Linked DNA regions of Alligator mississippiensis. The protein of the gene in region 4 interacts with the protein of the main gene of each other region in a biochemical or structural test. Links are inferred from orthologs where the notes say so. Each region holds a gene or a part of one and is shown on either strand. Other genes may lie near its edges. The genes, in order: UBE2B, UBE2A, WAC and RNF40.

What was found.
Region 1: the proteins of RNF40 (region 4) and UBE2B form a complex in vitro, tested with the Homo sapiens proteins (3 studies listed by BioGRID). The link is inferred for Alligator mississippiensis from reciprocal best matches to the Homo sapiens genes RNF40 and UBE2B.
Region 2: the proteins of RNF40 (region 4) and UBE2A form a complex in vitro, tested with the Homo sapiens proteins (3 studies listed by BioGRID). The link is inferred for Alligator mississippiensis from reciprocal best matches to the Homo sapiens genes RNF40 and UBE2A.
Region 3: the proteins of RNF40 (region 4) and WAC form a complex in vitro, tested with the Homo sapiens proteins (2 studies listed by BioGRID). The link is inferred for Alligator mississippiensis from reciprocal best matches to the Homo sapiens genes RNF40 and WAC.

What each region holds. Positions count from the first base shown.
Region 1 is NC_081832.1:70,120,063-70,127,743, reverse strand, and holds the start of UBE2B (ubiquitin-conjugating enzyme E2 B), read right to left. Parts: upstream 3,014-7,681; 5' UTR 2,920-3,013; coding exon 2,876-2,919; intron 1-2,875. UniProt on the Homo sapiens protein: E2 ubiquitin-conjugating enzyme that accepts ubiquitin from the ubiquitin-activating enzyme E1 and transfers it to a E3 ubiquitin-protein ligase. In vitro catalyzes 'Lys-11'-, as well as 'Lys-48'- and 'Lys-63'-linked polyubiquitination.
Region 2 is NC_081831.1:72,656,634-72,663,712, forward strand, and holds the start of UBE2A (ubiquitin-conjugating enzyme E2 A), read right to left. Parts: upstream 3,001-7,079; 5' UTR 2,831-3,000; coding exon 2,787-2,830; intron 2,563-2,786; coding exon 2,482-2,562; intron 2,371-2,481; coding exon 2,345-2,370; intron 1-2,344. UniProt on the Homo sapiens protein: E2 ubiquitin-conjugating enzyme that accepts ubiquitin from the ubiquitin-activating enzyme E1 and transfers it to a E3 ubiquitin-protein ligase. In vitro catalyzes 'Lys-11', as well as 'Lys-48'-linked polyubiquitination.
Region 3 is NC_081828.1:190,515,323-190,523,033, forward strand, and holds the start of WAC (WW domain-containing adapter protein with coiled-coil), read left to right. Parts: upstream 1-4,699; 5' UTR 4,700-4,799; coding exon 4,800-4,840; intron 4,841-4,956; coding exon 4,957-4,993; exon of another isoform or gene 4,994-5,221; intron 5,222-6,285; coding exon 6,286-6,481; intron 6,482-7,301; coding exon 7,302-7,370; intron 7,371-7,711. Other genes in the region: microtubule nucleation factor SSNA1-like, read right to left, coding at 3,618-3,962.
Region 4 is NC_081830.1:1,180,741-1,188,407, reverse strand, and holds the start of RNF40 (E3 ubiquitin-protein ligase BRE1B), read left to right. Parts: upstream 1-4,663; 5' UTR 4,664-4,732; coding exon 4,733-4,864; intron 4,865-6,457; coding exon 6,458-6,625; intron 6,626-7,667.

The DNA.
Region 1 (7,681 bases), on a different chromosome or scaffold from region 4:
CGCTGTACTGTTTTCTTCATTCCTTCTTAGCCTGAAAACACTGTGCTTTAAAGGAGTCATAGAAGCATCTTAACTTATTTAGACACACACACACCCACGTACGTTCTGGATTAGTAAGAATGCATCAATTTCCTAGTGGAAAACATGGTACCAAAGAAGTATTGTATATGAAGTGGGAGTTTAGAGACCAAGACCTTTGCCCTAGGACTGTATAAATCCCTGGATTAATACAGATGTTGTACTACCCTGTTGGTACTATGCCTTCTCCAACATACTTGCATACAACCTGAAATCTGAAGCACTTCCAAAACAAACCAAACAGCCAAACTTGCTTCACCATAGCACTAAGAAATGTATTGTATTTAAGGAAACCCAAGCACTAAGGGGATAGGCCAAGAAACAGATTTTGATTTGATATTCTGTTGTACATCAGAAGTCAGGATAAATCCCCAATTGGTTCCCTCACCACCACTTCAGGTCCACAAGAGGGATCATGTTTTAGAATGACATATTAGCAAGGACGCTGACCATCAAGCACCAATATTGCCGCTAAGGCAAACTAGCAGCAGGGAGTTCTCTGCCCGAGATTCACAGCGTCCTTCCCAACCTGTATTTAAGCATCCTTGTTTTCTGACCTTTCACAATTTACACAGTTCAATATCAACAGATCATACCCACCACTTTGGGGAACAGTTTCTTCCTACCGGAAAAACCAGATTGCCTGCCAGTATCAAAGCCTAAGCAGCAAACTTAAGTGCTGTTCTGAGATAGCTTTGGTTCTTAAATCAGGACAAAGCTCCCCCCATACTATGCTGTGGGAACATCTTTAACTACAGAGAATTTATGGCCTGAACTGGAAGCTTAACTTGCCTGAACAGAGCCTAGAGATATTTAAGAGCTAGCGATAATGTGGTATTTATAGCATCCGTATTCCTTTTCTAAGAGCTGTAATTAGTATTTTTCTAATTTTATTCAAAGGAACTAAAGAACGGTCAGCCTTCCAATAATCTGTCAAGTTCTTCTCTCATCACCACCACACAACCACAATAAACACAGCAGAGTTCACAGCAAAACATGCAACCTGAATGCTGTTACTTTTAGACTGAAGTAATTGTTAGTAACAAACTAAACGCATTTCCTTTCCCCCTAATGTTAAGAGACTGACATTTTAAAAGAAACATGAGCTCAGCCTGGAGGTACAAGATGGTTAGGTTAGATAAATGCACACTCATTCTGTGCTTCAGTGCATCTATTTAGAGTATTTATTTACTTACTTATCCACCTCCGATGTTAACAACAGAATCAGTGTCTCCAAAAGCAATTCTTATCCATTAGTGCCATAAGTAGTCAGGTTTTTTTATATTCATTGTGACCCACCATTAGGAACAGGATTTAGATGTCCTTTTTTGCTTTAAAAGGAACTACACGATGTTATGTTTGCATTATACAATACCTGGGAAGACTGCTGACAGGTAACTAACTTCTAAACCTCAACTCAATTCCTAACATTTTAGTTGCATATCAAACTTTTAACATTGCTATATATTATGTATACATATATAGCCCATGTCAACTGTTTACTTACACATTTGCAGATACTGCAATAAAATACAGTGACCACTAATAAAGTGGCACTACTGAAACCAAGTCATCTCCAGTGATTTAGGCCAACTCCTTTTAAAGAGAACAAGAGTTTTGCCTCCAATAATTTAGGCCAACTCCTTTTAAAGAGAACAAGAGTTTTGCCTCCAATAATTTAGGCCAACTCCTTTTAAAGAGAACAAGAGTTTTGCCTGAGTAAGGGACACACTTTGCTGGGGTTATTTGACCCCAGTTGTCTTTCCTGTCCAGAGCAAGGGGGCTGGACCCGATGCTCTCACGAAGTCCCTTCCAGCCCTCAACTTCTGTACATCTGTGTGAATGTCTCAGTGCCTTCAACTCACACAGAGCTGACAAAAACCACACAACGTGGACGGCGTAACAAAGACCTTCCACACCATACCTATATATTTACGTCAAGTGGGATAATTCAAGGCATTCCCATTACAAAAAAAGAGACTATCAATGACCCCCACGCTCACTGCAACACAAAAATAAGGTGCTCTATGACGGGGATCCGCCTGCACGCAAAACACACCGCGTTGTGTCCAAAGTTTCCAAGTCCAGAAGCACGGCAGTCGCCGCCGTTACTACTACATTTACCATCGCTGCCGTGTACCTCGACCACGTGCAGGACAGTTTGGACAGGCACAACCCTGCGGGGGCCGGACGGGATCCGACTTCTCCCAGCCCGACTCCTCTGGGAGAAGCGAGTCCTGGAGAAGCCGGGTTGGGAGGGACCATTTAAAAGGCATTTGAGTGTTTATCTGGCTAAGCATCCAGGTGGCAGCTGTGTTGGTCTGGAGGAAAAGGCAATCAAGGACTCGTAGCAGAGAGGATCTCTTTTATTAAACCAACGAGATTTTTGCTAAATAAATAAATAAGTAAATAAAAAGTGTGATCCCCGGGGCTGGACTCAATCTCACGAGGTCCCGTCCGGCCCCCAATGTCTATGAACAACCTCCTTTCTCAACCTGTGGGTCAAGCCCCAAAAAGGGGGGTGCGAGGGTATCGGGAAGGGTGGCAAACCGACTTGGAAAAGGGGGGGAAGCGCGGGCTTTTCCCTCGCGGCGGCCCCACACCCCGGGGGCAGGAGCGAGGGGTGCTGGGTCTTGTCCTGAAAGGCTGGATCCAGCCCAACCCCCACCCGAGGCAGCAGCATCCCCATCCCCGTGCCAAGCGGCCCGCACAGCCCGGGGCCGACCCCCGCGGGGGAAGCAGGGCCCGGCGCCCCCTTGCAGCAACCCCAGGGCCAGAGCCCTTCACGGACACCCACCTCTTGAAGTCTCTCATGAGGCGCCGCCTGGCCGGGGTGGACATGTTCCTCCGCCCGCCCGCCGCCGGCCCGTCCCGCGAGCTCCGCCGTAACCCGCCGCCGCCGCCGCCGCGCAAACAAGCCCGCAATGGCGTCTCCCTCCGCGCGGGGGGCGGGGCGAAATGTACCACTGCCGCGGGAGCCGGGGGGTAGCGGAATGTACTACTGCCGCCACAGACACCGGGCAGCGGGCGGGGGAGGTTCTGGGAGCGCGCTCGGGATGCACCATTGGGCCTGGCCGCGGAGGGGGGCAGAGGAGAACACCCCCGTGCGTGTCGCTTGGGCTGCGCCGTGTTTGGTTCCTTCCTCCCAGCCGGCTGCGCCGGGGGGTCCGCACGCGCGGTGCAAACCCGGCCGCGATGACAACCGGCAGAAACCTCCAGGGTCGCAGCCGCGGGGCGGAGAATGAGCGTGTGCTCGCACTAAGTTGTGAGCAGAAGACTGCATGCCCTTTCCATTTTTATTGCCAATTGTAAGGAGCCTTTTTCAGGTCTTTTTTTTTTTTTTTTAAATCAAGACCTGAAAAATCTCACGCATCCAGGCTCGGGGTTTTAGACACCCCCTCACCTCAAGATTCAAAGTTGCAGAAGTTGGCAGCTCCCTGCCTGATGGCTTCCCCGCCCCGCATCCTTGCTTATGTCCTTGCAGAGATGCATCGGGCCCTTCATTCGTGTAACTCCTGCAGCAGTGTTTGTGGGGCGTGCAATAGCGGCTGGTGGGGGTTTCCCGGATGAGCGACGCTAAGCTAATTAATGCTAGGCTGAGCTTGGTACAAGCCTGTAAGTGATTCTGCTCTAATGCATCTACCATGAGAGAGAATTCCCCCTGCACCAGTTTCTGTTGTTTCAGGAAGCAATTTAGCTCCCTATTGTTAAGTATTATGTAGGGGGGAGGGGGGGAGGTTATTTTATTCTTTTACTTGCTTCCATAAGTAAGTAGGGCTGGCATTGTACTATATGAACACAAAGCAACTGAAGATCTCTGTCCTGCAAGCTTTTCTACACCTGCTAAAGCATGCCAAGTACACGCACTTAGACCCATTATCCTACAGCCCTGAAACCACTAACCCCTTGATTTAGGCACTGACATAAGGGATCGCAGAATCGGCCCTGATACAAAACAAGTTTTTCAAAAATCGGAGTAAGAAAACACAGACCCATGTAAGTGAAATCAAGCCCACTTTCAATCCTGGAGAACTATTCCTCACACTAATAGGAGCCAACGCTCGTTGCCGTACAAGCTTTCAGAACACCCTTCTCCCACCGCGCGCGCACTTCACATTCCTTTGCTGTCTGTTTCCCTCCTCTCCAAGCTGTTTGTATTAAGTGCAAGCTCTGAATTCTTCAGGAAAAGGGCTGTGTTCTCGAAAGCCATGTACAAGTCTGGCCCTGCTAAGTACTTAGTTAGTTTAACTGTATTGTGACTTGACTGCATTAATGTTACACGTCGGAGCTGTTCTCCTGCTGCTGCTGCTGCTGCACAATTTAAGAGCTCTCACTCCAGAAGTACAGTTCTCTGCTCTTTAAGGAACCTATCTGCCATTAATCTAACAACATACCCAGAATCTGTTCACACCCTTCTTTTGCAATTCATTGGATAGACAGTCTTTTTTTAAAGAAGGGAAAAGGGAAGCCACACACAAAACACCCAAATCATTCTAATCCAACCACTGCTTTGCACCTAACCAAGGGTCTTCCTTGCCAAAGGCCCACCCCATTAAGACTTCCTTAGTCACTACCCCAGGAACATTTCACCTTCCTACAACCAACTGTATATCTTCTTTCCCAACTAAGCTTTTATTTCTACAGCACGGGTGGGCTGAAGGCAGCCCACCAGGCCATTCTATCTGGCCTGTGGGGCCCCTAAAAAATTTAGAAAATGAATGTTTATCTGGCCCTGGCTGCCTGTCACGTGGCCCTTGATGGATTGCCAAAACTCAGTAAGCGGCCCTCCGCCCAAAATAATTGCCCGCCCCTGTAGACTAGGGAATCAGGCATTTTTCCCAGCTGAACCTGATAATTCCCTCTACAGGGGCAAATACGTATTCTTAAAAAAAAGCTCAGCCTCAAACAACTGATCCTTAAAAGGACAGACTACCCTTCTACAGAAACCTTCAAAGCAGGAGCAGTGTATAGATTATGATACGAGGTGTATTTGGTAGCTGTGTTGATCTGAGACAAAAAGAAATACAAAAACCTAAAACTCTTGGTTCCAAAATGATACCTTTTATTAGATCAACTTAGAAATGACACAAAAAAAAAAAATCCTTTCCGTTGGTTTAATAAAAGGTATCATTTTGGAACCAAGAGATCTAGATTTTTGTGTAGCTTATGATATGACACATAGCTGAGCCATTTTGGTTGCATACAGCAGAGGGCAGCGTTACCCTTCCATACAAACTTGTTCATGTCAAGGTTATACAGTAATTTGTCCAAAAGAATGGATCTGTCGCATGCATTTTTACTCAAAAGATTTTTTTTTTCAATCTTATTCAGGGGTTAAAGAAACATTTCAATTAATTTAGTATATTGGGAAAATAAAAACAAGGGTCTGTAAACTTTATTTCAGGAAGTCTGATGTAGCATTCTTAAACTGGATTATATGAAATTTATTTTTTTTTACATCCAATTAAAAGAATTCATGGTTAAGTTTGAAGTTCAGTCACAACTTCAGCACTAAAAGAGAGGCCAGCCCTCTCTGTGGTTTGTGGTTTCTCGTGTCATTCTCTTGCTAGGAAGATTACCCAAGATCTCACTGTAGGAGGTAATTGTTTTATGTCTGCTGGTGATTGTTTGTTTACTGGCAAATGATGTTATCACTATAGTTACCCCCTGCTTTCACTATGGGAATAATTATTTTCGATTCATCATGAAATAATGCATTACAGCAGCTGACAAAGATATGACATCGGATGCATTTCACATACTTCATAGCATCTGACAAAGTAGGTTTTTGTCTATGAAAGCTCATTTTTCTCTGAACCAGTTAGTCTTTAAGGTGCCACCCTGCCCTGCCTTCTGTCTGACTTCTGACTCACCTGGCTAACCACCTCTATTCCAGTTTGAAAAACTTTTCTAATGACTTTTTTTTCTTACAGTGTCATCCCTACAAGATAATTGATTTTTTTCATTCAAGAAGTCTGAAGAATAACGTAATGGTCTATGGCTATGCCCCATTAGCCCCAGCCTTCTGCCACCTATGATGGCAGCTGAAATGAAATAAAAACTGGCAAATTTTGGACAGCGTCATTCCTTCTGCTAATCTAAAATAGTTTATAGTTAGAAAACCAGTAAGACAGAAAATTATCTTGCATGCGTACATAACAGACAATTACCCCTTAATAAGCCTCAAGGAACTTAGGAAATAGCAGTGAAGCTGGGCTGCTTGCGTGTGCGCTAAATATTATAAATCCCGCAAACCTTAATTAACAAAAGACGTGAAGGCTTCAGTTCTGCAGTGCCCCTGCAGAGCTTCGTTACTTGCATTAACGTGTCCAAACCCAAGCAATAAAATATATTGCTGAATAAAATAATAATCTTAATAAAATAATGATAGCAACATATACAGTAATCAAAGGAATTGTGAGAAATGGATTTGCATTATTTATTTGCATTGCCCCTGGAGGCCCCAGAATGAGTCTGGAGCTGCATTCTGCTAGGTACAAATTGTGATGGAGACAGGCAGCTCCTCCCTAGAAGGGCAGAACCAATCCTACAGTCATGCAGTCTTTTAATGAAGATCAAAGGGGAAACAAAAGCATCCAATAATTCAGTATTACAGGTACTTCCTTGACATCTGCTATTTGCTCGCCCCCTTGCCAAGATAAATATTAACCAGGAAATATACCAGCCTGCAAGTATTTATAAGGACATTAAAAAATGCTGTTTACAGTCACTCCATGGGTCCACCTTGCTCACATATCCTGGGTCCCACAGCTAGCGGCTCCTCCACAGAGCTGTCACAATGCATCTGCTGAGTTCATGGACACCCCCGACACCCGCCCCTTCTGAGAGCAGAGGGAGACCCTGGCGTACGCCCTCCTGGACTGTGCCAGGCCGCAGCCCCTTCATTGCCTGCCTCCTCCTCAACCTCCTGATGCCCTACTCCCATCCCACACCTTGCTGTTTGTGCACTCCTGGTACATGGCCCCACGTGGCCCTGGGGCCTCCCCTCCTCCTGGCTGGGAAGGAGCCTCTGGCCAGGAGTAACACCCCCACCCCCAGGGACTACAGGGCTGTTTTCCTGTCCTTGGCCTGTTCACCCTCCAGGCAGTTTCACCGGGCAGCGCCCACTGGCTCCTCGGCCTTGTCTGGGGCCGGCAGGCCCTGCCTGGTGTGCTCCGCTCAGGGTCCCCCTCACTTGGAGCAATTCATCTAAACCTGTGCCCTGCCCCCTCGTCCCTGTTTTCTCTTCAGTTGCCCCCTGAGCTCAGCGGCCTCCCGGCTGAAGCAGGTTTTCACCACGCTCCTGCCCCACCAGCACCATCTGCCACACGCAGGCCGACGAAGCCTGAGGCCCTACCCGCGCGCATGCGCACGAGGGCTCGTGCTGGACGCCAAGGCACTGCAGGCGCCGCCACTTCCCTGCTCCCTTCCGCACATGCGCAGTCACCGGGACGCTTCAGGGAGGCCCCGCCCCTTCCGCTCCACTTCCGGGTGGAACGGGATGAGGCCGCGGCGGTTGGCTTGGCTGCCTGTTGCTGTGGTAACGGGGCCTAGTGGCGGCGCCATGGACAGCCGCGGTGCGCAGGTCAGCGGGCCGGGCCCC
Region 2 (7,079 bases), on a different chromosome or scaffold from region 4:
ATTATTCAAATCTATCTAAGACCTCAGGTGATCTCAAATTACTGTACCCTTACCAGGCCAATACTGTTGCAGAAACAGTGGCTCCAGAAAGATAAAATCATACCAGGTACAGATACACATGCATGAATGCATTCTTCCTAATGTCCATTAAATGTAGTACCTCCAATGTGAGGTAGTGAAGTGTACATTAGGCTGCCCTAATATGCAGTACTGCAAGTGCACACTTTAAAGACACTTAATGCATAGTAGCCTATTTTACTGCACATTAGCGATTAGCGTGGTGGGTTTTTTTACATGACACTTTCATGCACAGTAAAAAAAGGCTACTGTGCATTAAGACATGTGTAGACATACCCACCAAGTGCCTAATTTTTGACCTACAGAAAAGAGGTCCCCCTAGTTTGACTGGCACAGCCGGGGGGGGCGGGTCATCTTCTTTTAGCATGGGGCATGGTCCTTTACCTAGGATCTTCTGGGCACATACATAAGCTTACTTCCTATTATTGCAAGGGTAATGAGGACACTGACAATGCTTTCATCCATAGCATTTCACAGGCTGCTTTTGGCATCTCAAAAATTTTGTTCCTTTGCTTGTAGGCAACCAAGTGAAGGGAGCAATTTGGGAAATTCCTTTACTTAAGGAGAATCTACAAATGCAGGGGACCAGACACAACAGGACTGGCAGGAGCCTCCTGAGCTACGTTTCTAGCCCTCTAACTTTAGAGTGTGGCACAGAGCACAAGGTAAAAGGCACCAGCAAACTATTCAAGTGGGGCACACATCTCCAGATGCCAACACATACAATTCTAGGCAGCAAGATAAAAAAAAGCTGTGCTGTAACAAAAAACAAAAAAAAAAAAACAAAAAAAAAAAAAAAAAAACCCCAACAAACAAACAAGCAATTTTATGCCCTGCTCATTTTTCCTGCCTTGGGTATTAAGAAACCCAGTACACAACCTGCGCCAGAACACCTGCCCAAGAATGTTAGCCGAGGAACAACCCAACAGACAAGAGGAATAACCTACTGCTAAAGCACACAGGAAATATACTCCAGCTACCAGGAGTGCACGTAGCCTTGGATTCAAGCTGATTATGGTTTGAATGCCTAGAACCTTAGGGATTTAAGATCAAGGCATGAGGGGAGGGCAGGGAAGAGAAATCAATACTTAAAAGCCCTAGATAGCATTAAATATACCAGCACTTTCAAAGCTGATCTTCCACAGATATATTGAAGGTGGTAGATCTTCTTGTCAAAATCCTTTGTTACTAAACATCTCAGTAACCCCAACACTGAACTACAAAATGAGACACAAAAAAAATAACAACTCTCAAGATCGATACCATTAATTCACAGGAGCCAGTTTCTCTTCCTCCAAGCTGTGATCCATTTCTGGGATGGCTGTGCACCGTAAAGACAAGACCCGTCTCATCACCCAGACCTGTTTATACTAGTATATTAAGGCCCAAGAAACCAAAGAGAACTTCTGACCTCAAACAATCCCACAAACAAAGGAAAGAGCCACAAGCACCAGGCACTGCAGGAAAAAAAAAGAGAAGAGACCAGCCACTAAGCAGGAGAGCTGGAGGTAGTCGTGTAGTTTTGTGGCTAACTAAGGACAAAAAAAAAGCAACTAATTAGAGTGTTCTTGGGTCTGAGGTACTTTAAAAGGGAAAGCATGAGCTCAGGAAGGCAGAGCCCTCAAGCCAAACAGTTGCTCCCTCAGAGGAAGAAACAGTTTTAGAGCTAGGGAGTCTTACCATGCAATTCATGATGAAAGCATAAGACTCAACACTAATTGTAGTCCTATACTGACACCTTTACAGAATAACTATTTCTAATTGTTTCTTTGCTTAGGTCTAGCAAGTTCAGGATAGATACTGGATCCTTCATACAGCATCAGAAGTGCAAACTTCAGAGAAAATAGTGAGCAAAGCTACAAACAATGACAAAGTTAGGGACAAATGTATCACGGGAAGTTTTTTTTTGTTTTTTTTTTTTTAGAAGGAGCGTAGGTACTTTCAGTTTTAAAAACTGAAAGTAGCTACAACTAGACTAAGGTAAGGAACCCTTAGTTCCACATTTAGGAAGTCAGACTTGGGAGGAGGGAGGGGAATAAGGAAGGAAGGTTTGCAGCGGTCAGGGACGTAGCACCACAGAGCAGTTTTAAGGACAGAAGTTTTGGCAGGGAGGTGGGCAGTGGTTGTGCTTCCCGGGGCTGCGGAGGTCCTAAGCTGACACCTGTTGCAGGGACCCAGAAGCAGGTCACACTGGGAAAAAGAACAAAAAAAACCAACCCTCCAAAAACCAAACCAAACCAAACCCCAGTAGCTTAGCGGCACTTACCATCCTCAAAGGGAGTCCCCTCGGGCCTGGAAGAGAAGGGGGAAGGGGTGAGCACAGAGGAAGGGTGAGCGCAGCGCAGGGGTGCCCCTCCGCCCGCCCCGCCCGCAGGGGGCGCCAGCCCGCGCATGCGCACTCACCCGAAGATGACGGCGTTCCACACCATGATGTTGTTCTCGGAGGGGGCGCCGCTCACGCCGGCCGGGGGGTCCTCCTGCAGCCTGCGGGCACGGGCGTGTCAGCGTGGCCAAGCTCCGCCCCCCGGGCGGGCCGCAGCTGGCGTAGCCCCCGGGAGTCACCCCCAGCAGTCAGCGTAACCCCGGCCCCCCTCCCTGCGCAAGCGGCGTGGCCTAACGCTACGCAAGCGGCGCAGGGCCGCTGCTCCTGCCGCCATGTTGGCCGGCCCCCTCCTCTCCCGGCCTCCCTCCGCCGCCGGCCTCGTTACCTCTTGAAGTCCCGCATGAGGCGCCTCCGGGCCGGCGTGGACATGGCGGGCTCAGGGTGACGAATCGCTCATACACTAGCCCCGGGAGCGAAGGAGCGGGCGCTCAGGGACACTAGGACGACGGCGGCGGCAGCTGGCTCCGACTAAGGCGGCGGCGGCGGGGGCTGCCGAGCGATACCGGGTCGTACCACTGCGCCGGCTCGCGGGGGGGAGGCCGAGACGGCGGCTCACTCCTCCCGGGCGATCCCGGGCTGTACCACTGCCGCGGGGAGGAGGAACCGCACGCGAGTGAACCCTGCCGGACCCTACCACCGCGGTGGAGAAGCGGGAGGCGGTGTCTAAAGGAATCCGGGATGTACCAAGTACCGCGGCGGAGGAGGGGCAGCAGGAAGTGAGACGGCACCACTGACGTCAGCGGAGAGGGCGTGTTCTTGCCATTGTTCCCGCCCTGGGCGTGGCTGGGGGCGTGGCCTTGCACCTGCTGCCTCAGGTGAGGGCAGGACAAGGGATCTCAGTGTGTTTAAGGCGGGAGCGAAGGTGGAGGGCAGCCTCACCCCATGAGTCACGGGAATGAAGCCACTTTGTTATCCCTGACCTGTCCCCCAAGGTGCTCCACGCACCCCAGGAGTTTCTGCTTCCAGCCGGGAGCCTTGCACATGTCTTAGAAAAATTAAAGGGGGGGCTAAAAACTGCCTGGGAGGGAGCACCACCGCCTCCCTTTGCCACGGTGACCCACAGCCACCCTCACCAACACCCCTTGTTTCTAGCCCAAAATTGCCGAGCTTTAGCCTCCAGCCGTTGGATCCGCTTTGTCCTTGTCTGCTCCATCAAAAAGCCCACGATCAAAGTTTTAGGCAGGCCTTGGCAGTTGTAAACTGGGATCAAGGCACCCCTGAGCCCTCCGACAAGCTCTTGGGTTCTTTGCAAGGTTTTCCAGTGTTTTAATCGTTCTGCTGAACCCTCCCCAATTTATCAACTGGAATACAGCTGCAGGGGGAACATGACCTGACAATTAGGAACAAAGAGGCTGCCTGCTCAGCTATCGATCTGATGGAGGATGTGTTTATGGCAGTAGGAGGCTGGGGAAAGCCTCACTGTCCATCAGGGTGAGGTGGCCTCCTACCGGGACGGGTGGGGCACTGGGATGTCTGCCTCCCCTGCGTCCTCTGCTGGAAACCCGAGACACGCGTTACTTGAATAATGTCCAGATCTTGCTAGATCAGAGATGCAGAAACAGTGATTGTGCAGATGTGAATCTTCACAGTCTTTTGTTTCCTCTGCGTGCATCTGGTGAGGGTGTGTCCTGATGTGTAAGAGGCAGGATCTCCTAGGTTATGTTCCGAGTGGGACTCGTGCTAAATAGTTTTTTCCAGTGAAATTAATTATTTGCCTTTCACACTAGGCTCCATTTTCTTTTTGTAAACCCCAAAATCAGTTTACCCAACAGGGCATTCTCTTTACCCATACAGTAGGTAGGAGTAATCACTTTGGTACAAATATCAGCAGTTTGCTAATTATGTTTGTTAATGTTACAAGGTGGTGAAACATTCTCAATACAGAAAAGGATCAGAATATCATATGCTGGCATATTCAGGCAAAATTAGATTGGGGGATGTCAGCAACCAATGTGATATGGCTGTGAAAAAGACAAATGATGTCTTAGAATGTATGACTTGGTGCAGTAGATATAAAGGAAAGTATTAAAGCTGCTGAACAAGGCACCAGTGAGACATCATCTAGAACATGATGTAAAATTCTGATCATGCTTGCTGAAGAAAGATGAATTCAGACTGGAGCAGGAACAGAGAAGGATTACTAGAATGGCAGGGACTGGTGAACCTATTTTATGAGAGAAGATTAAAAGACCTTGTCATATTTAGTCTACTGAATTGTAGGCTGATACTGGTGATGTCACTGGGAAGATGCTGCAAGCTGAGGTGTTGCCTGGGCTGGTGTTTCTTTGAAACCTGTATCCCATTAATTATTTTCACCACAGAAAAATTGCTTTCTATATGAGTTCTGACAATAATGACAAATTCTCGCCTCCCTTTGAGGATTTTTTTTTATCTGCATGGCTTGTGTCTGGAAAAACCATGTTTCTCTTTGATCCCTTGACTTGCCTGTCATTTCACCCTTTTGCTCTTCATGTTTCCTTTAGGGAGATACTCTTCCCTCCACATCAGAGACCTTTCTCCCTCTATGTTGTGACAGAACTTCAAACTTAAGAGTCAAGCCCTTACTTAGCCTACAGAAGCTGGGAATTGAGAGATGATCTCTCAATTAAACTTTCTCGTTAGAGCCAAAGGATCTGCAGAAGCTTGCATGCAGCTCCATAATGAAACTTGTTTTAGTTCTTTTCATTCATGTATGTCTGTGTTTACTGAACCTGGTGATCTCTACACAAGAGATACAGGCATTCCTTGTCAATGGCATTATCTTTCCCCTAGAATCACATCCAGTTGGGAAGGACCTCATGCCAGCCATCAGAGAAGAGGGTCTACTGCTTCTTGCCAGGAGAACAGCATAACCCATGCTGCTGTTCCCATGTAGAAACAGGAACCTTAGAACTTCCTCTTGGCCCATTTATTGTCTAATATCCTTCCAGCTAATCAGATCCATCTTTGGGGCAGAATGTCAAGAGCCGAGCTTTCTGCTGACGGTTGGAGTCCGTCTGTCCAAGTCCAACTGTTGTGGGACGTCTGATCCCGACGCTCCACCCCTGTTGCTGCATTACGTGATTCCAGCTGGAATGGGACTTTCTGACCCCTATGTTTGACCCCTTCTGCTACAGGGACATTACCCCTGCTTGTGTCAGGAAGGCGGAGGAGTTTATATTTATGGAGACAGAACAAGGTTTTATTCTGTAGGTATCAGACTTTTTAACAGTTTAATGGAGATGGGTGGTCTTGCTTATGGGAAGTGAGTCCTTTCATGCTTTTAGGATTGCCAGGCTGACTTCTATACAACTACTTGGGTGCCAGGGCTTCTGAAATGACTATCTGAGCATGAAATTTTAAATGTATGTGGATGCTTTTTTTTTCATCTGGTTGTAAACTGGACTTTCTTGTAGTGGCAAGAGTAGCTTTTGTAATCTTATGTTAGAGCTGTGAGTTTCTTACCTGCTTGGGGGGAGGAAGGAGCGTGGTACATCTTCTCGTTACACCCACATCAGACTATAAATGAGGGATGAAAAAGAGCATCATCTCTAGTATATGGTGTATAGCCTTCCTTATCTTCATTACAAGGATTCAGTCCTAGGAAATTACAAGTCTGAGTCGTCTGTGTTCAACTGTGATCTGAATGGCCTGGGTTTGCTTCAAAGCGGCACAGGGTATGCTAGGGCATATAGGTTTAATGGGCCTCATTTCTGCACTGCAGATGAAAGTGACTGAAAACTATAACTATTTAATTTAGATACCTGTAATTAAGCATTTGGCTCTTACTTCACTGAAAAACAATGAGCAATCTGCCCAGCACAGCCTCGTAGCTCCCTAGAGTTACTAGCGACTTGGGGGTGTTTATTATCATAGCTAATAACTGTAAAGATAAGGATTTGTAAGCAAGGAGTAATTTCACTCACTCCTCCTGGCTGAATGGCGCTTGCCAGACCACTGGGCCATAATCCCACTCTATTTTTCAGGGAGGGCTGCCGACTCCTACACTTCTACTCCTCCCTGAAAGCCTTACATTAAGTTAATTGGACTTATTTATTATTGACTGTGGAGGGAAATTATTTTGGCTCCATTTGGATAAAATTTAGTTCTTTGTGCCAAATTCAGATCTCGAATAAGTCCATCTACACTCATTTAATGAACGTGCATTTAGTGACATGAGGTCTTAAGTTAGCCTTTGATGACTCTTGTTGACATAAAATCTATGTCTTATGTTCTCTTGAACTTCAAAATAGAGTCTGATTACATTATCTGAATGTTTCCAAGTTTCGTATAAGTATAAATTACAGTCATCCATAAATAGCTGTTGCAGCAGACACAGTGTACAAAAAGTAAAATAAAATAGAAATGAGCTCTGGTTTCTTGGAAATCACTTTTAGCATCTTATAGGACATCCAAAGAATGGACTTTTACCTTCTGTCTCAGTGAAGTTAAATTAGTTCCACAACCAGTCAACGACAGCCATATTAGCAGATAATTTAAGGTATATATTGTGTACAGGAGCCATGGCAATGGATGCATAATAAATTATTCTACAAATAAATGTATACCAAGTTAAACCTTTAAAATTGCCTCCTTCTGGAATACTTTACAGAATTTAATTTAATATATGCTATCAGAA
Region 3 (7,711 bases), on a different chromosome or scaffold from region 4:
GGACCAGAAACCAGGGCAATCTCTCCCTAGTTACATATCCTAACCACTACTTGCCTTACCTCTTGTGACCTCTCCATCCCCTACCTTACCCTTCTTTATGCTCAGAACAGCAGTTCCGAGATGGACAGTTTACCTGCTCCTGTGCTTAGTATTTTTTCTTGGCTAACTTGAGTTGGCCCCATTCAGCACACTAGTTCCTATGGATTACTTTGTCCCCATGTATTACATAATGAAACCCAGGCTTCCAAATCAGGGTTTGAATTCCACTCTGGAGGCCAGGTGATTTAAGTTAAGTATTGCTCTACATTACATGCATGACATACTTGTCATTCAGGTTGGGGAGTCAAAAGTTAACTGGGAGCAATGCTAATGACATTGCTGCCTCAAGTACTACTGGCTACAGAAATCAGTATGACTTTTAAAGACTCTAGCCAGATGGGTGATTAGACCACAGGGGACCTCAGACTCAGCTTTTTGATCCACACCATTTCCTACTCCAAATGAATGTCCTCACCTAGACAGTGCTGCATCTTCCTCCTATTTTAATCAGATTGAAACAATTTAAAAAAAGCTAATCACATCAGTTCACCTACAGTATCTTAAACAGTCAAGAAAATTCACATATACACAAGCTGTATACTGTATTAACAAGGTTTGCCACTCGACCAAAAGACTAATAACTTGGTCATACTTGATTAACGTAGCATATGACTTTAAAGTGCAGTAGCTATTCCTAAATAACTCCATGTGTGGACATTTCCATTCTGGTATAAAAGAGCCCACACTTGATCTGGAATGACTAGTCTAGACTCTCTCATATACTATACAGGCAAAAACATTCTCCACCAGCATAGATTAGATTAAAGGCCATATACTGTCCTCCATTTGTGATTTGACACCTCACTGTCACCTGTAGTTTTCTCAGTTAACAGAAGTGAGAAATCACTTTTTATTTAAAAGAAGCCCTAAAATCTCATTGTTTGGATACTAGAAAACCACTGTAATTTGCTTGTTTTTGTAAGCTAAATCACAACCTTTTTTAAAAAAAGCTGTCAGCTCAAGTACATTATTTTTGTCATTGTAGTACCCAGTTATACATAATAAACTCAAAATGTACACTAGTTTTGTTTAAATAATACAACAGAGACATGAATTACAGAGCCATTTGCTATTAAGACAACTATACTATAAATGGTGTCTCCAAGCAAGATGGAGAACACAAGAGATATAAAAACCACCATTTCACTTCTCTGTAACCAAAGCATTCATGATAAAAGGAATCTGTATTTAGATCATTTGAACTTTCATTCCAGAAAACTGATTTATTACCAGTGTGAAGTGGTGTGCATACACATGTAGCTTCAAGACCGAAATGCAAGTTGCACTGATCTAAAGGGAAAAAATAAATTTAGATGAGAAATGTCATTAACAATCATGACACAATGATTAGGTATTGATCAAAGCCAGATGTGGTCCAAATATTTTGCAGAAATTTGTAATGATAGTTCCACTTCCCTTAGAGCAGGGTGTCAAACGTGCAGCCTGCGAGCTGGGTCTGGGATTGGGAATCTGGCCTGCCTGGCTCCTAGAGGCTGGACATTTGTGGTCAGGCTCACTGCTGAAATGTGAGGCATGGAGCCCCACTGGAGATGTGTGTTCACAGGGGTGGAGTGGGGTATGAGTGTAGCCCCGGCTCCCTGATACTGCTGATCCTATTATTTTTAGATCCAGCCTGGGGAGCCAGATGAGCTTGACATCCCTGTATTAAAGTAAAAATAAGCAAAGAAGGAAGCAGGGATTTTGCCCTGATTAATACTGGGGTACTAGAATAGCAGCAGCATTCCTGATAATCTAATTTTAATCACTCCTGTATTACTCAAGGGAGACTGGTGGAAACGGAATATGTATATAGTGACAATTAGTTGAGTCACTGTAATCTCACCCACATTTTAAGCGTAGCATGGCACACACTAGAATAGAACTTTTACTTCATAAAACTGCAAAGACAAAATAGCCAGACGCAGTTTGCGCTGACATACATACCATTTACTTCTGCACCCAAGAGTTTCATAGTTTGTGTTATGCTGCCTGATGTGAGAGTTACCATTGCACTTCCTTAAATTTAAAGAATCAGTATAAAACAAAGGCTTTACTACTGCACAAAATCTTGGAACAAAGCAAAAGCTACAGTATGCTAACATATGAAGTGCTATAAAGAAGTTTTAATACACACTAGAAATAGAAAATAGGATCAAAATTGAGATTCTAGTCATGGTCTCTAACCTGCTTCCCTATTTCCAAGCTAGGTTTAACCACATCCAAAAGAAAGTTTCAGAGCTCAAGAACCATCTCTAATCTAATTTTCCACTTCTGAAGTGTATTTAATACTTCCTTTCCACGTTCTTCAGGTGTTCTTCACAACCCTATTGTAAGTATATAATTCGCTAGAATTACATAAAAGGTATCCAAAAGAAAGTTTCCAGGCATTTCAATCTTTTGCCCTCAGCTAAGATGACCCCCATAAACCAAAACTTCGACAATTTATGTAAAAAAATTTTCATGGAAGTGTGTTACATGAAAAACACTACAATGATACAGAACTACAATGATAAGGGCAGAAAAGCCTATAAATTTGTGCAAGGTGCAGCTGTGATCTCTAAAGATTTAGAAGTCTATTGCCAGCCAGATTACTAAACATACCTCCCTCTCCCTTTTCGTACACGTTTACAGTGGCCAGGCACAGTACAGGAACTTGATCAGCTAGAATTTTTAGGAAGTCAATATAGTCCCTGTTAAATTTAAGGTCTTTTAATACAATTGTTCCTGGCCTCTGTTTATTTTTGGAAGAGCTTTTGGATGGGCCTGACAGCCTGTAGACACAATAATAGAAGTTGTGTTATGTGCACACTTTAGAATAACACGCACCTTAAAAAAAGGAAGAAAAAAAAATCTATTTAAATAAAAAAGTCGGATAGATATCCATTTAGACAATAAACATAAAAAACAAACATTGTGCTACTACTGAGTTATGAAACTTATTCTGTGCTCCACTTCTTTTCCTCCCTCCCCACCCATTTGTTTTACACCTCTTTTTCCAGAGCAATTAAGGAAAACTGGATGGGATTCCCTGAAGCCATAAATATGGCTCTTGCCTTGGCTACAGGAGTGAAGAGAGACAAAAAATGCCCTCTCCTCTCAGATCTGGAAGCACTACTCAGACTGAAAGTCCATGGAAAGCAAGGAGGATTTCATATGGTAAACTAAAAAGAAAGCTTTTTTTTTTTTTAAATTATTATTACGTTGTCTGAAAACAGACATGGAAAGACATTTGTACCAAAACGTGACCTTCTTTTCCCACAGATCGATTTGCAAAACCTGTGTATATATCTTCATGTGTGTTGGTTATTAAACAGTTATGAATATTTGGTAGCAAAATACTGACTTTATTTTATGTGCGTTACACACTGCTTTAGTGCATTAAACTAAAGGTAAAACAGACAAGAGACCCCAGTCAAGCCCTTCCCCACTTCTGCTACCCCCAGGGTCTGTGGCTAACCTCATTCCTCACCCAAGAGGGAATTTAGCTCAGTTGGAGGCTGCACGCACACTGGCCCGTTTCAGGTGACATTGCTTTCCAGCACTGCCGTTTTGCTCAAGGCCCCTGCCTCCTGCTTCAGGACACTCAGCAGCGCTCGAAAGCTGTCCAAGATCTTCACGTAAGCAGCGTCGGTTTCAGCAAGGATTTTGTCCAGTTCGTCGCGGGCCTCGGCCTTGCGGGCCAGGCTGCCCGACACGCGCTCCAGCCGCTCGCCCAGCGCCCGCACGTCCCGCCGCAGCCGCTCCCGCTCCTCCTCGTCCCGCCGGATCTGGCGGGCCAGCTCGTCCCGCCGCAGGCACAGGTCCTCCAGGCACCGCACCACCTCGTTGTTGCAGCCCTGCAGGACGGCTGCCTGCTGCGCCATGCTCCGGGCCCGCTCCGCAGGAGAGAGGGGAGACAAGAGGAAGGAGACACTGCGGCGGGGCTCCCCAAGGACATCTTAGCCGCCCGCCGCCGCCTCCAGCTTCCTCCCGCGGGAGGCAGCCACACAAAATGGCTCCCGCCCCGGCCCCGCCATGCCCCCGGGACAGCAGCCCGCACTCACTGGCTCGGCCCGCGGCGGAGCCGGGCGCGTCGTCCGCTCAGGTCCGGTCCAGACCCCCGCCCGGCGGCAACCGCAACCGCAACCGCGCCGCGCACTCCGGCGTCGGGAGGGTGACGGAAACAGCCGAGGCTTCCCGAAAGCAGGTCCGGAAACAGCCGAAGTGTCCCGAAAGCCGGAACCGCCCTCCAGGGCGGAAAGAGCCGATGCGGCCCGAGCCAGGCCGGCCGCGGCCGATGTTTGCCGAAGGCAGAGTGGGCCGAGAGCAAAGGGGAGCGCGGGGCCGGGGGGCGGAGCGCGGCGGAAAGAGCCGGAAAGAGCCGAGGCGGGCCGAGCGCGGCGGCGCCCGAGTTGCCCGGATGTAGTTGGAGGAGCGGCGGCGGCGGGCGCAGCGGGGGGAGGCGGCAGCGGCGCGTCCGTGCTCGCCAGTGTCTCCGTGCGCGCGGCGCCCGGCTCGTCCCCCGTCCCGCGTGGCGGCGATGGGCCCGTGAGCGCCGCTCGCAGCCGAGCCCGAGCCCCCGCTCCCGCCCCGGCCCCGGCCCCGGCCCCGGCCGCTGGCGAGGCGGAGCGCTGCCTCCCCCTCCCCCCTCGGCGCCCGTGGCCCGGCCGCGGCCGCCCCCCCCGGCCGCCCTCACCCGCACGCACACGGGCCGGGCATTGATGGTAATGTATGCGAGGAAACAGCAGAGACTCAGTGATGGGTAAATGGCTCCGTCCCCGGCCCGCGCCCCCCGCCCCTCCGCCATGTTTGCGCCCCTCCCCCGGCCGGTAACGGCCCCGCTAACGCCTCTCTCTCTCTCTCCCCCTCTCTCCGCAGCTGTCACGACCGCAGGGGGGACTCGCAGCCCTACCAGGTACTGCAGCGCCGGCCGCCGGGCCCCGCAGGCCGCGGGCGCGGGGGGGGGCGCTACTCCAGCGCAGGCTTCGGCCGTCGCCGCAGGCCGCGTTGCACCCGCCGCCTCGGCCCTGCCCGCCCGGCCGCCCCGGGCCCGCTGCGCCGCGGGGGAGGGGGGTTGCGGTGGGGAAAGGGCGGCCCGGCGGGCCCGGCGAGGGGCAGGGGCGGGCGCGGCCTAGCAGGGCCCGGGCGGCCTTGGGCCTCCGAGCCGGGCGGGGCGGGGCGGGGCCGGGCGGGAGAGCCGCTGGGGTCTCTTGGAGCCAAAACAAATGGGAAAGCGGCTTCTCTGCCAGCAATGGAGCAACTTGGGAGCTGGGGCACTTGGCTTCATACCCGGGGAGGAGCTGCCTTCGAGGGCCCTGGAGAAGCACCCCCTCTCCCCCTTCCCGTGGGTAGGGAGGCAGCCCCTGGGCGCCTGCACTGTGGGGCTCCTCCAAGGGTGCTGGTTGCTCACGGCTCTGGGTATTTGATTAGCTGGGAAATGAAATCTGACAGTTGAAGGCAGCTGGAAGGGGCAGTTCCCGTGCACACAAACACTCCCCTGGCAGCGAAGTGCCTTGCCAAAGCAAGTAGGTGGAAGAGGGGCTGGACAGGAGCACTTCCAGCAGGTCAATATTTCCAAGTGGGCGCAGGCCAGCGAAAGCACTGCCTGTCCCACCACTGCGCTTCCTTCCGCCTGTTAAGTTGGTTTTATGGCTTCAGGAGATTCTTGCCCTTAAAAGTTCATTGGGGTGCTGGATTAGGGTAAAAGGTGCTGGATTAGGGTAAAAGTTTTCAAATCAAGCTTGCAGTGCGTGTGTGTGCGTGTGTACACTGGGTTTGTGCAGAAGTTACATATGATAAATAATATATATTGCATTACTTGATAATGAAGTAGGTGAGGAAAGAAGCTGGGTGTTTGCTAAACGTATCTGGGTCACAAAATGAAGAAGTTTGAGGAATGGCTACTTTGCTTTTAGAGGATATTAAAAATAATGTTCACATATGATATCAAAATGGGCAGAGGTGTCGCAAGACCTAAATCCGCCTCATAACATTACTTTGTATGGCTAACTACAACTAGAAAGCCAAAGGCTGAGTGTCCTGCTGAAATTGGTTTTCAGCAGGAGCTCTAATCACATTTATAATCTTGAGTCATACTAGATTGAAATTAAATGTGTTCTGTATTTAGAATACATGTTTTGGTGGGAAGTGGTAGTAACTGCTACAAAAATGAAACCCAGTTTTAAAGCGCATTCTCATCTCTTGCAGACTCTTAAATATTCATCAAAGAGTCACCCCAGTGGTGGTGATCACCGTCATGACAAGATGCGAGACACCACAGATCCTTCACCACCAAACAAAATGTTGCGGCGATCTGATAGCCCTGAAAACAAATATGGTGACAACACAGGGCACAGTAAAGCAAAAAGTGTGCATGCTCACAGAGTTAGAGAGAGGGATGGTGGTGAGTTGCTTTTAATTGACTTATTTAAGCAGCATTAATCTGATGTAAACTACGTAACAACAGCTACTACTGGGCAAATAGAACTTCACCTTGAATGACATGTCTAGACATGGTGGTCAACTAATTGATCCCTGAGCGATTAGTTTCACTGAACATAATTGTGTAGAACATCATGAAGTGAAGTATTTTGTGCCTCCAACAAGTAGTACATTTCGAGAAGGCCACAGGAGAATACATATATGCAATTTTAGTATGGTGATTCAAATTAATTTCTGCGATTCAAATTTCTAAAGACACTTGTAATATTAGCATGTGATAACATTCCATTTTAGATTTCTTCATCATAGAGATTTTTACTTGTTGCTTCAAAGGCTGAAAACTGTGATTGTTCTGTGGCTTATTAAATAACAGTAGTCTGCTTGCTTATTATGATGATTAATTGTTCAGTTAAGTGCTTAACAGGCTGAACGAAATAGATAATTTAAAATGCAGAGAAGCTTCAGAACTTTTAGTTGCTGTAAGGAAGACTAGTGAGTAGGGGATAGTATGCAAAGGTATTCCTGATTTGATTCCTACTTTGGGGGGAACTCATAAAGTGTTCCTGCTTTAATTCTCTAAATATTTTAATAGACTTCTATTCTATTGCCTGCCTTCCATTTTTGCTACCTCCAGTATCTTGCTTTACTTATCTAATGAGCAAAATTGTAAACATTTTACTGTTTACTATTGTGGGGGAGGTGGGGGGAGAGTTTACCTCAGACACCAGTCAAACTTAAGCCAGTTCTTGGGTTTTCAGTGCTGCTTTTCATTCTTTATTGAGTTACCATGAAAAGTCTTCAGGAAGAGGAACCAAAGAGATCTCTAAAACAACGTATCATCCATGCTATAGGTAAAGTTGACAAATAAGTGATGTAAGGACACTCATTTTATTACTTTTGTTGTGAATGCTTGTTACAATAGTTAACATTAAGGTGAAATGCCAAGTATCTTTTAAGATATCTTGAAGGGAACTCCTGGTCTCCACTGCAAGCATACTTATAGTATATGAGTACTTGTATGCTCCATATTTATTTTCTTTGCTTGAATCTACAAATGGAACTGTTTTATGCATGTTTGATATGCATGCATAAGAAACTGCAAGTTCGTAAGAAAATTTTTGCAGGATAACTTAAAAATATTGATCCTCTATTGTTTTTCTAAGCGTGAGATTACATTTAGATACTTCCAAAT
Region 4 (7,667 bases):
AACTGACTCAGATAGGGGACCGTACTTTGTGGGAGAAACTACGAAAGCCCTGACACAGGCTTTAGGGATACAACAGAAGCGGCGTGTGTCCTACCGTCCTCCGGCCAGGTGGAGACAACGAGCCGAAGCGTTGAGGAAGGTTGTGTGTGCCAGCGGTAAGAAATGGACTGAGAAGTCGCCCCTTCTTTTGGCAGCCGTTAGATCAGCCACCCGACTGAGACCACGTTTAACGCCATATCACATTATATTTGACCGTCCGATGGAGCTCCGGATCAACCCGCTGCAGCTCCGACCAGATGAAATTCAAGAAACAGGTGTAATCTCGTGGATTAAATAGCTGCAAGAAGACAAGGCAGTGTATAAGCACAAACCAGAAGAAGCCCTGTTGAAAACCTGAGCTAAGATGCAAGGAAAGCACGAGGTTGCCCCCCAGCTATGGCAAGTAGGGGACCAGGTAATGTACCTGAAATACAGGAAACCCCGCCATAACCTACACACCAGATGAGAAAGTCCATGTTGCACTGTTAACCTAGCTGGCCCGATGGTGTGCCAGATTGACACGGGGCCCGAGGGTATGTATATGGGTACACCGTGCTCAATTAAACAATATGGGATAAAACCTCCCCGGATGCGGGTTTGTCTTCTTATCTTTCAGGTTTTAGACGCCGAAGACATCGCTCTGCAGAGGCTCGGTGAGAGGTTCACATTAAATAAGTAAGCCAGCATTAATCCTACTGTGCGATCGCAACTGTTGCGTGTGGTTTGTGTGTTTTGTCTATGGTAGTGGCTGTTGGCAAGCTTAGAAGGATAGGGAAAGAGTAGAGAGACTTGTGTTGTTGCTTATATTGTAGAGAAACATGAAGATCCAGGAGGGGTTTATTTTCTGGATTGGACTTGCAATGGCGGAGGCGTGCATGGGATACGAGTATTGACCTCAATATCAAATTGAGCCTGGGTCGATACAGGACACATAGGGCATGACATCCATTGTATAAGGTTCAGCATATCATGAAGTGTGCAAATGTGGTGCATGTGACTACCGAAGAAGCAGCAGGTGGCATGAAGACAACAGAAGGCCGTGGTTGCTTTTGTAACCGAAGATAAGACTGTTTTGAAGGCCGACTCTTTCAGCTGGCCGCACAATATCCTCGATAAAGAGGAACCGGCTTCAAACCAGCTCCAACTGGTGAGATGAGAGGGCGCTTGTGATGTGCTGACCAAGCACCGCATGCCGGAAGAAGCATCTAGAAATCTTGCCCAGCAACATAAAGTGTAGAAAAGGGGGCAAAAGAGAGGATGATGCAGGAACGTGCCTCAGCACCAGCGCCCGCGCCAGGTCAGATGCCCTGCTCCATCAACGGATAGGGACCGGCCATCCCTATCTCCAGTGCCCTCGGGGTCGTGTGTGTGTGTCACCTGCGAGAATGTATGTGAGTGTGCGTGCGTGCGTGTGTGGTAGGGTAACACAACTCCTAATAAGCTAATGGTCTCTAATAAGTGTAAAACTCCCCAGCACCCTTAGCAATAAAGTACCCCGCTGAAAAGGGACTAACGTTTTCTCATTAGTCCCAGTGCTGGGTTACAAGGGCACGGGGCAGAGGGCCCAGGCTGTGAGAGGGGGCAGGGGGCATGCTCCGAGGGATGAAATGAGGGACCCTCATGCAAAAGACGGCCACTCGGTTCCTGGAGCAAAGGGGGCGTCGTTGGCCAGGATGATCCAGACAGGTGTTGAAAGCTGGATTCATGATGTAAATGATGACAACGACGACGACATGCTTAACTTTCTTCCTTCCCCCTTTCATGCTTTTCTTAACTTGACTCCTTTGACAGCTCCTTGCCTGTGGATCATCTCTCTGCAGTCGGCTTATTGTCCATATTTCATCCTGTCAGCACAGCCCTTTGTTCCACATCCCCATTATGAGCACACCTCTTAATTTGGCCTTTTTTCCGTTGTCTTACTTTAACCATTGTTCATTGGTCTCCTTTATCACCTTTCATTAACAGATCCAATCATTCCATCCCTCTGATTCAGCCGATTAGCGCCAAGTTCAGTTAAGTTGAGCTAGTAACAAACCTATTGCTACGTTGTGTCAGAAAACCTTCTCGCAGTGATAGACAAAGGAAAGCAACATCACGCGAGCAACCTCAAGACCATGAGCTGCTTGCAAGACACAAGGCCTGGCATTGCTGCTCTAACATTGAACATTTGCTGTTCAGGATGGACGGCAACTGGAGCATGTGCCGCTGTATGCATCTTCAGGATGGTCGAGGTTACAGATCCCACCAGACCGCCCTTCATTGGATGGGTTTAGAAAGGATCTGCGCTTATTAGTAACGCGATATGGGCGTGATCCATGACAGCTCCACTCTTCTTCTTTGTGCTACGATTAGCGTTCGCTCTCGTCTAGTCTTTATGCAGATGGGACCTGCAGTAAACGCATTTGGGAGAACTACTACGTTTACTAGGAAAATATCTGATAGCCCACGTCTCCGTGCTGCTCATGGGTGTCTCTATCCTGAGCTGTCCCTCAGGTGATTTTTGCAGAAGGCGGTGACACGCGGTCTCTCAACTGTATTAGGAGGAGGGAAAGCCAGCGTAGGTGTGCTGAAGGCTAGGGATACCGAACCCTTGGCTGGTAAATTGTCCCGAGTGACCCATCACTTGCAAGACATCAGAGCTCCTCTTCCCTCCTCTCCGTCCAAAATCAGCATTCAGGATTGGTCGAGCGCAAAGTTACTCCCCAAGTGGAGAGGCTTCAACGAGCCGAAACATCGATTAATGGGACGTGCTTGAGGTAAAATGCACATTAACATGCTTTAATGCACATTAGCCTACTTTAATGTGCATTAACACATCACTTCAAAACCGTGCTCAATAAAGGTGTTACCAAGTGCTGAAGCTGCTCAGGTCAGTCTGGTGGCCAGCCAGGCTGAGCCGAGTGATGGAGTCAGGTCTTGTTGGATGTGCCTAAAACGCCTTCTTGCAGGTGGAAGAGATCCAAAGCTTTGTCTTTGTGTTCATTCTTTATAGTGCTCGCAGTCCATACCAGCCTGTGGATTCGGCTGAGTCAGACACAAAGGTCATCCTCCTTGTCCTGTTGGCAGGCTGGGATTGTTAGGACATGATCTAATGGCTTTGTGGTCTGCAATCTTCAGGGGGGTCGTTGCTTGCAGTCTTCAGCCATCAAGGCTTTTTGCCTATTGCTTTTAATCGTATGTATTTTCTTGAGTTTTGCATTGCCTTAAGAAACTCCATTTTGTATTGCTCTGTAGCTGGACATAAGTGTTCGACCTGTGTATGCTGGCTCAGAGTGTGTCTGTGGAAAAGGAAAACATCAGCTGGCGACTAGCTGAAGAAGGCAGAGAGATGAAAGACCAAGCAAGAAGAATCTGCCCCCAAACAGCGAGAGCACAACGGCAATCAGTCTTCAAGGAAGAACACAGCGATAACACAGCAAGAGCCCAGAGGACTGGGTGAATTGACAAGGCTATAAAAGATGGGGCGAGACGTATTGATTCTGGGCCTTGTTCTGCACGTCATCCTGGAGCATCGGTTCATCTGACGAGATGGACCGGCAGGAGCCCGGTTTCCACTCGGGATCAACTTGGCTGGCCACTAAGTTGATCCGAGCACCGATAAGACCAGTAACGTATACCACTGCAGAACAGAAATTGGGTTAGTGTGTGTGTGTGTGTGTGTGTATTAAGCGCTCAATCAATAAACTCGGCATCTTGCCTTATCTCGTCTCGTGATTTGAGCAATTGGCAATTTGTGTAACACGCCTGCCTCCCCACCCCTCCAGAAGGGGATTAAGGTGCACTGGGGCGCTAGGCAAGCACAAAATTGGAGGCCTCCTCCCCCATGGGAGCTGGGCTTTAAGGTCCTGGTGGCAGGGCAGGCTGGGTGGACCCTGCTGGGCTGGGGGGGCACATACCCACCTCTTCTCCCTGCTCCCCACCTGCGCTATGGCCCAATGTGCGCACACAGGCGTGTGCACCCTCTCTGTACATGGACATGCACACACACACATACACACGGGCACACAGAAACAGACAGGCACACATACACATGACCCACTGACAGACAGGCACAGAGAGGCACACGCTCACACACGCCCACGCTCCCCTCCCACCCCGGCAGTCTCTCCCCGCACCCCCACTGGGGAAAGGACCTCCAGGGGAGGGAATGTGAAACCCCCAGCTTGAAACTTGTCCCCAAAGATGGGAGGCAGTTGAAGGATCCGAGGCCACTGGGTGGGAAGCAGACAGGCAGGGGCGTTATGCGCACGCGCCAAACCAGCGCAGGCCCCCGGGAAGCAGCGGGCGTTATGCGCAGGCGCCGAGTCCGCCGTCCTCCGAAGCGAAGCATGGGGCGTTGTGCGCATGCGTCAAGCCGGCGGTGCTCCCGAGGGAAGCAAGGGGCGTTGTGCGCATGCGCCACGCTAGAGGCGCTCCCGAGGGAGTGCGACGCCGTGGTCACACACAGTAACGGTGTCGTTTCGGTTGAAATAAAAAAGAGCGAAAAGTGGACGTGTTTGCTCACCCGGCGGGAGTCCCCCCCCACAACTCCACCAGCGAGGGGAGGAGCATCCGGCCCCTCCTCCACGCCCTCTGACCCCGCGCCCGCGTCGCGCTTCCGTCGCGTCACGCCCGGCCCTGCCCGCAGTGCGCAGGCGCGTCCCCGCCGGGGCTGCGCCGTCCCCCCGCCCCTTGCAGCCCCTCGGGCAGCGCCATGTCGGGGGCCGGGGGCAAGCGCGCGGCGGGGGACGGGCCCGCCGGGCCCCCCGACAAGAAGGCGGCCCGGGAGGAGAAGACCACCACCACCCTCATCGAGCCCATCCGCCTGGGCGGTGTCTCCTCCACCGTGAGTGCGGCGGGGGACCCTCCCCCCCCCCCCCCGTGCTGCGGGTGGCGAGTGGGGGGGCTTCCGGGTGGCTTGAAAAGAAACCCTTGTGCTGGGCGGGTGCGTGTGCGGGTAGCCGTGCTGCTCGCCACTTGTGGGGACGTGCAGATTTGGGGGGGGGTATTTCCTAACTGGAGAATTGAGAGTTTTGTATCCGTCCGGCTCGCGCGCTTACCCTCCCCCCCCCATCTCACCCCCGCCTCGCTCGCCCTTCCCTGCGTGGCCCCCTCCGACAAGCCCCGTCCATCCGATCTACCCGCGCACCCGCGAATCTCATCCGTCTGTTCTTCCACCCATCCGCTGATGTGTCCATCCATCTCGTCCATTTACCCTTTCCGTCATTTTATCGATTCCCCCGCCCCCGCTCTTGTCCGTCCATCCGTTGTCTCCAGGGGTGGGCAGTTACCTGGGCTGTGGGGCCACTTGAGCAGCTTTGCCGTGACAGCCCCTGTTTCCTGTGCGGCTGCCGAAGGGGTGCCCTTGCCCCGCTTACCCACCTCTGGCCGCTGCTGCCATTTCATTTGATTACAGGGTGCGATGCATATCAGGAGAGGGGGAGGGGGGAAACTGCCTCTTTCTGCGGCAAATGCCTTGCACTGACTTAGTGGGGCTGGTTGCGGCCGTGTGGGTCTAAGGACACGGGCAGACAAGTTTCTTTGGGTAGACGTGATACCTCTTATTAGACCAACTCAGAGAGTTGGGAAAGTTGTTCTTTGCAAGCTTTCAGGCGCAAACACCCTTCTTCAGGGACAGGGAGACTCTGATGACTTACCTACTTACCTGTTACGATTCAGGGTTGGTGTTCATCGGGAACTGGGGAGAACCAGGCCTGCGGCACTCGCATGTCTCTCCCGGTCACTTCTGTGTGGGCACCAATCTCTTGGTCCTAGGGGAGGGATGGACAGTGATTTGGCCCATGGGCCACATAGGGCGTGTCGTGGGCCAGGTCAGCACCCCGTGCAACAGTTCACCAAAACTGCTGAAGTGGCTCTGCTCCGTGCTCAGCTGGGATAGAGCTGCGTCGGGGGGGGTGGCATTCGGGAGCAGCATGGGCGGGCAGGGCCGAGGCTAGGATCCCGGGGCAGCGATGGTGTGGGACCAGGGCAGAGCCATGATTCGCTGCCTGCATGTCCCTGAGGCGGCACCTGTTGCTCTAGATTTTCTGCTTGGCAGCACTTCTGCAGCTTGTTCCAGGCCCCTTGGAAATGGCCACGGCTGTCAACATGGGACAGTTCAGGGGTCTGTGGGAGAGACTTAGGGGGATGGGAGTAACTGTGGAGGGGGGGCAGGTTGAAGGTCTGGGGGTAACTATTGGGGAGCAGTTGAGTGGGCTGCGGGTAATGGGCAACTGCAGGGATGCCGGTGGGGGGCGTAGCTTAGGGGTCTGGGGAGCAGCTTAGGGCTTGGGAGTGACTGCAGGGGTTTTGCCGGGCAGCTCACAGGGCTGGGGGTAACGGGTGGGGGGCTGGCAGAGCAGCTAGAGAGCAGTATGGGGCTGGGGGCAGCTTGGCAGGCAAGGGGCCCACAGTAACCCCTCCCTTTGTGTCACTGCAGGAAGAGATGGACCTGAAGGTGCTGCAGTTCAAGAACAAGAAGCTGGCGGAGCGGTTGGAGCAGCGGCAGGCCTGTGAAGATGATCTGCGTGAGCGCATTGAGAAGCTGGAGAAACGCCAGGCTACTGACGACGCCACCCTGCTCATCGTGCATCGCTACTGGGGCCAGGTACCCCCCCTCCCCCTCCCCCCAGGATCGTTGTCTTGGGGTTGTGGCGGGCTGTATCTGGGCCCAGACGCCTGGGTTCTGTTACGCCCCCACGGTGCTAAAGGGTAGCCAAAGCATAATCAACTCGGAGTTTAATATGGAATACATCTCTCATAATTCAGCTTAACTAAAATCTAACCTTATTAACACAGAGAGAGACAGAAACATTTAGTCTCGCCCAATCCCAGATGTTACTCTGCTTCACAGAAAAGGTGGCCAGTCAGTTCATCTGTGGGTAATGGCTGTTTTTCAGTCCAGGTGTTGGACAATGACATACACCCAACTTCCTTGTTTCCACCCTTTTATGCTTTTTCTTTTGCCAACTCTGCATTTCTGGGTACTGTTGATTGGTGTCTTTGTGATCATCATACTGGTCGTGTCTTATATCCTATCAATGTGTTCCTTTGCTCTAACCACACCATCACACGCTCACATTTTCATTTGGTCTTTTACTGGTGGCTTAATTTGGGCATGCCCAGGACTCCTTATTTGGTCTGGCCCTTAGAACCAGAAATTCCAAGGGCTCTGCAATTGGGCAGTGACCAGCTGGTCCCCTCTTATAGCCAGGGATACTGGTTTTCCCTGATTTAAAAAAAAATAAATAAAAAAAAAAAATCTCAAATTCTCTGATTAAAAAAAATTGCGGTTCTCTGATTAAAAAACCCGGCCAATGGTCTGATTATAAACCGTCCCATTCTCTGATAAAAATCGTCTATTCTCTGATTAAAAACCCACCTATTCTAAAAGAAGAGCCTCTGTCCATAATGCTCTGGGTCAACTGCACATGTGCTGCCAAGAAGTTGCACACTGCTAGGCTTCAAGGGCCTGGAGCATTCTGGGCAGAGGGAGCTGCCGCACTGCCTTCCCCCCAGCAACAGCTGGCAGGGAGTGGTGGTGGTGGGGAAGAGGGGAGCAGGAAGGAAAAGGGGGGGGGGGGTTTCCAGTGGCAGTGCTGCCCCCCATCACTGCCCCCACCTCTGCTGTAGCCCCCTGGTGGCAACTG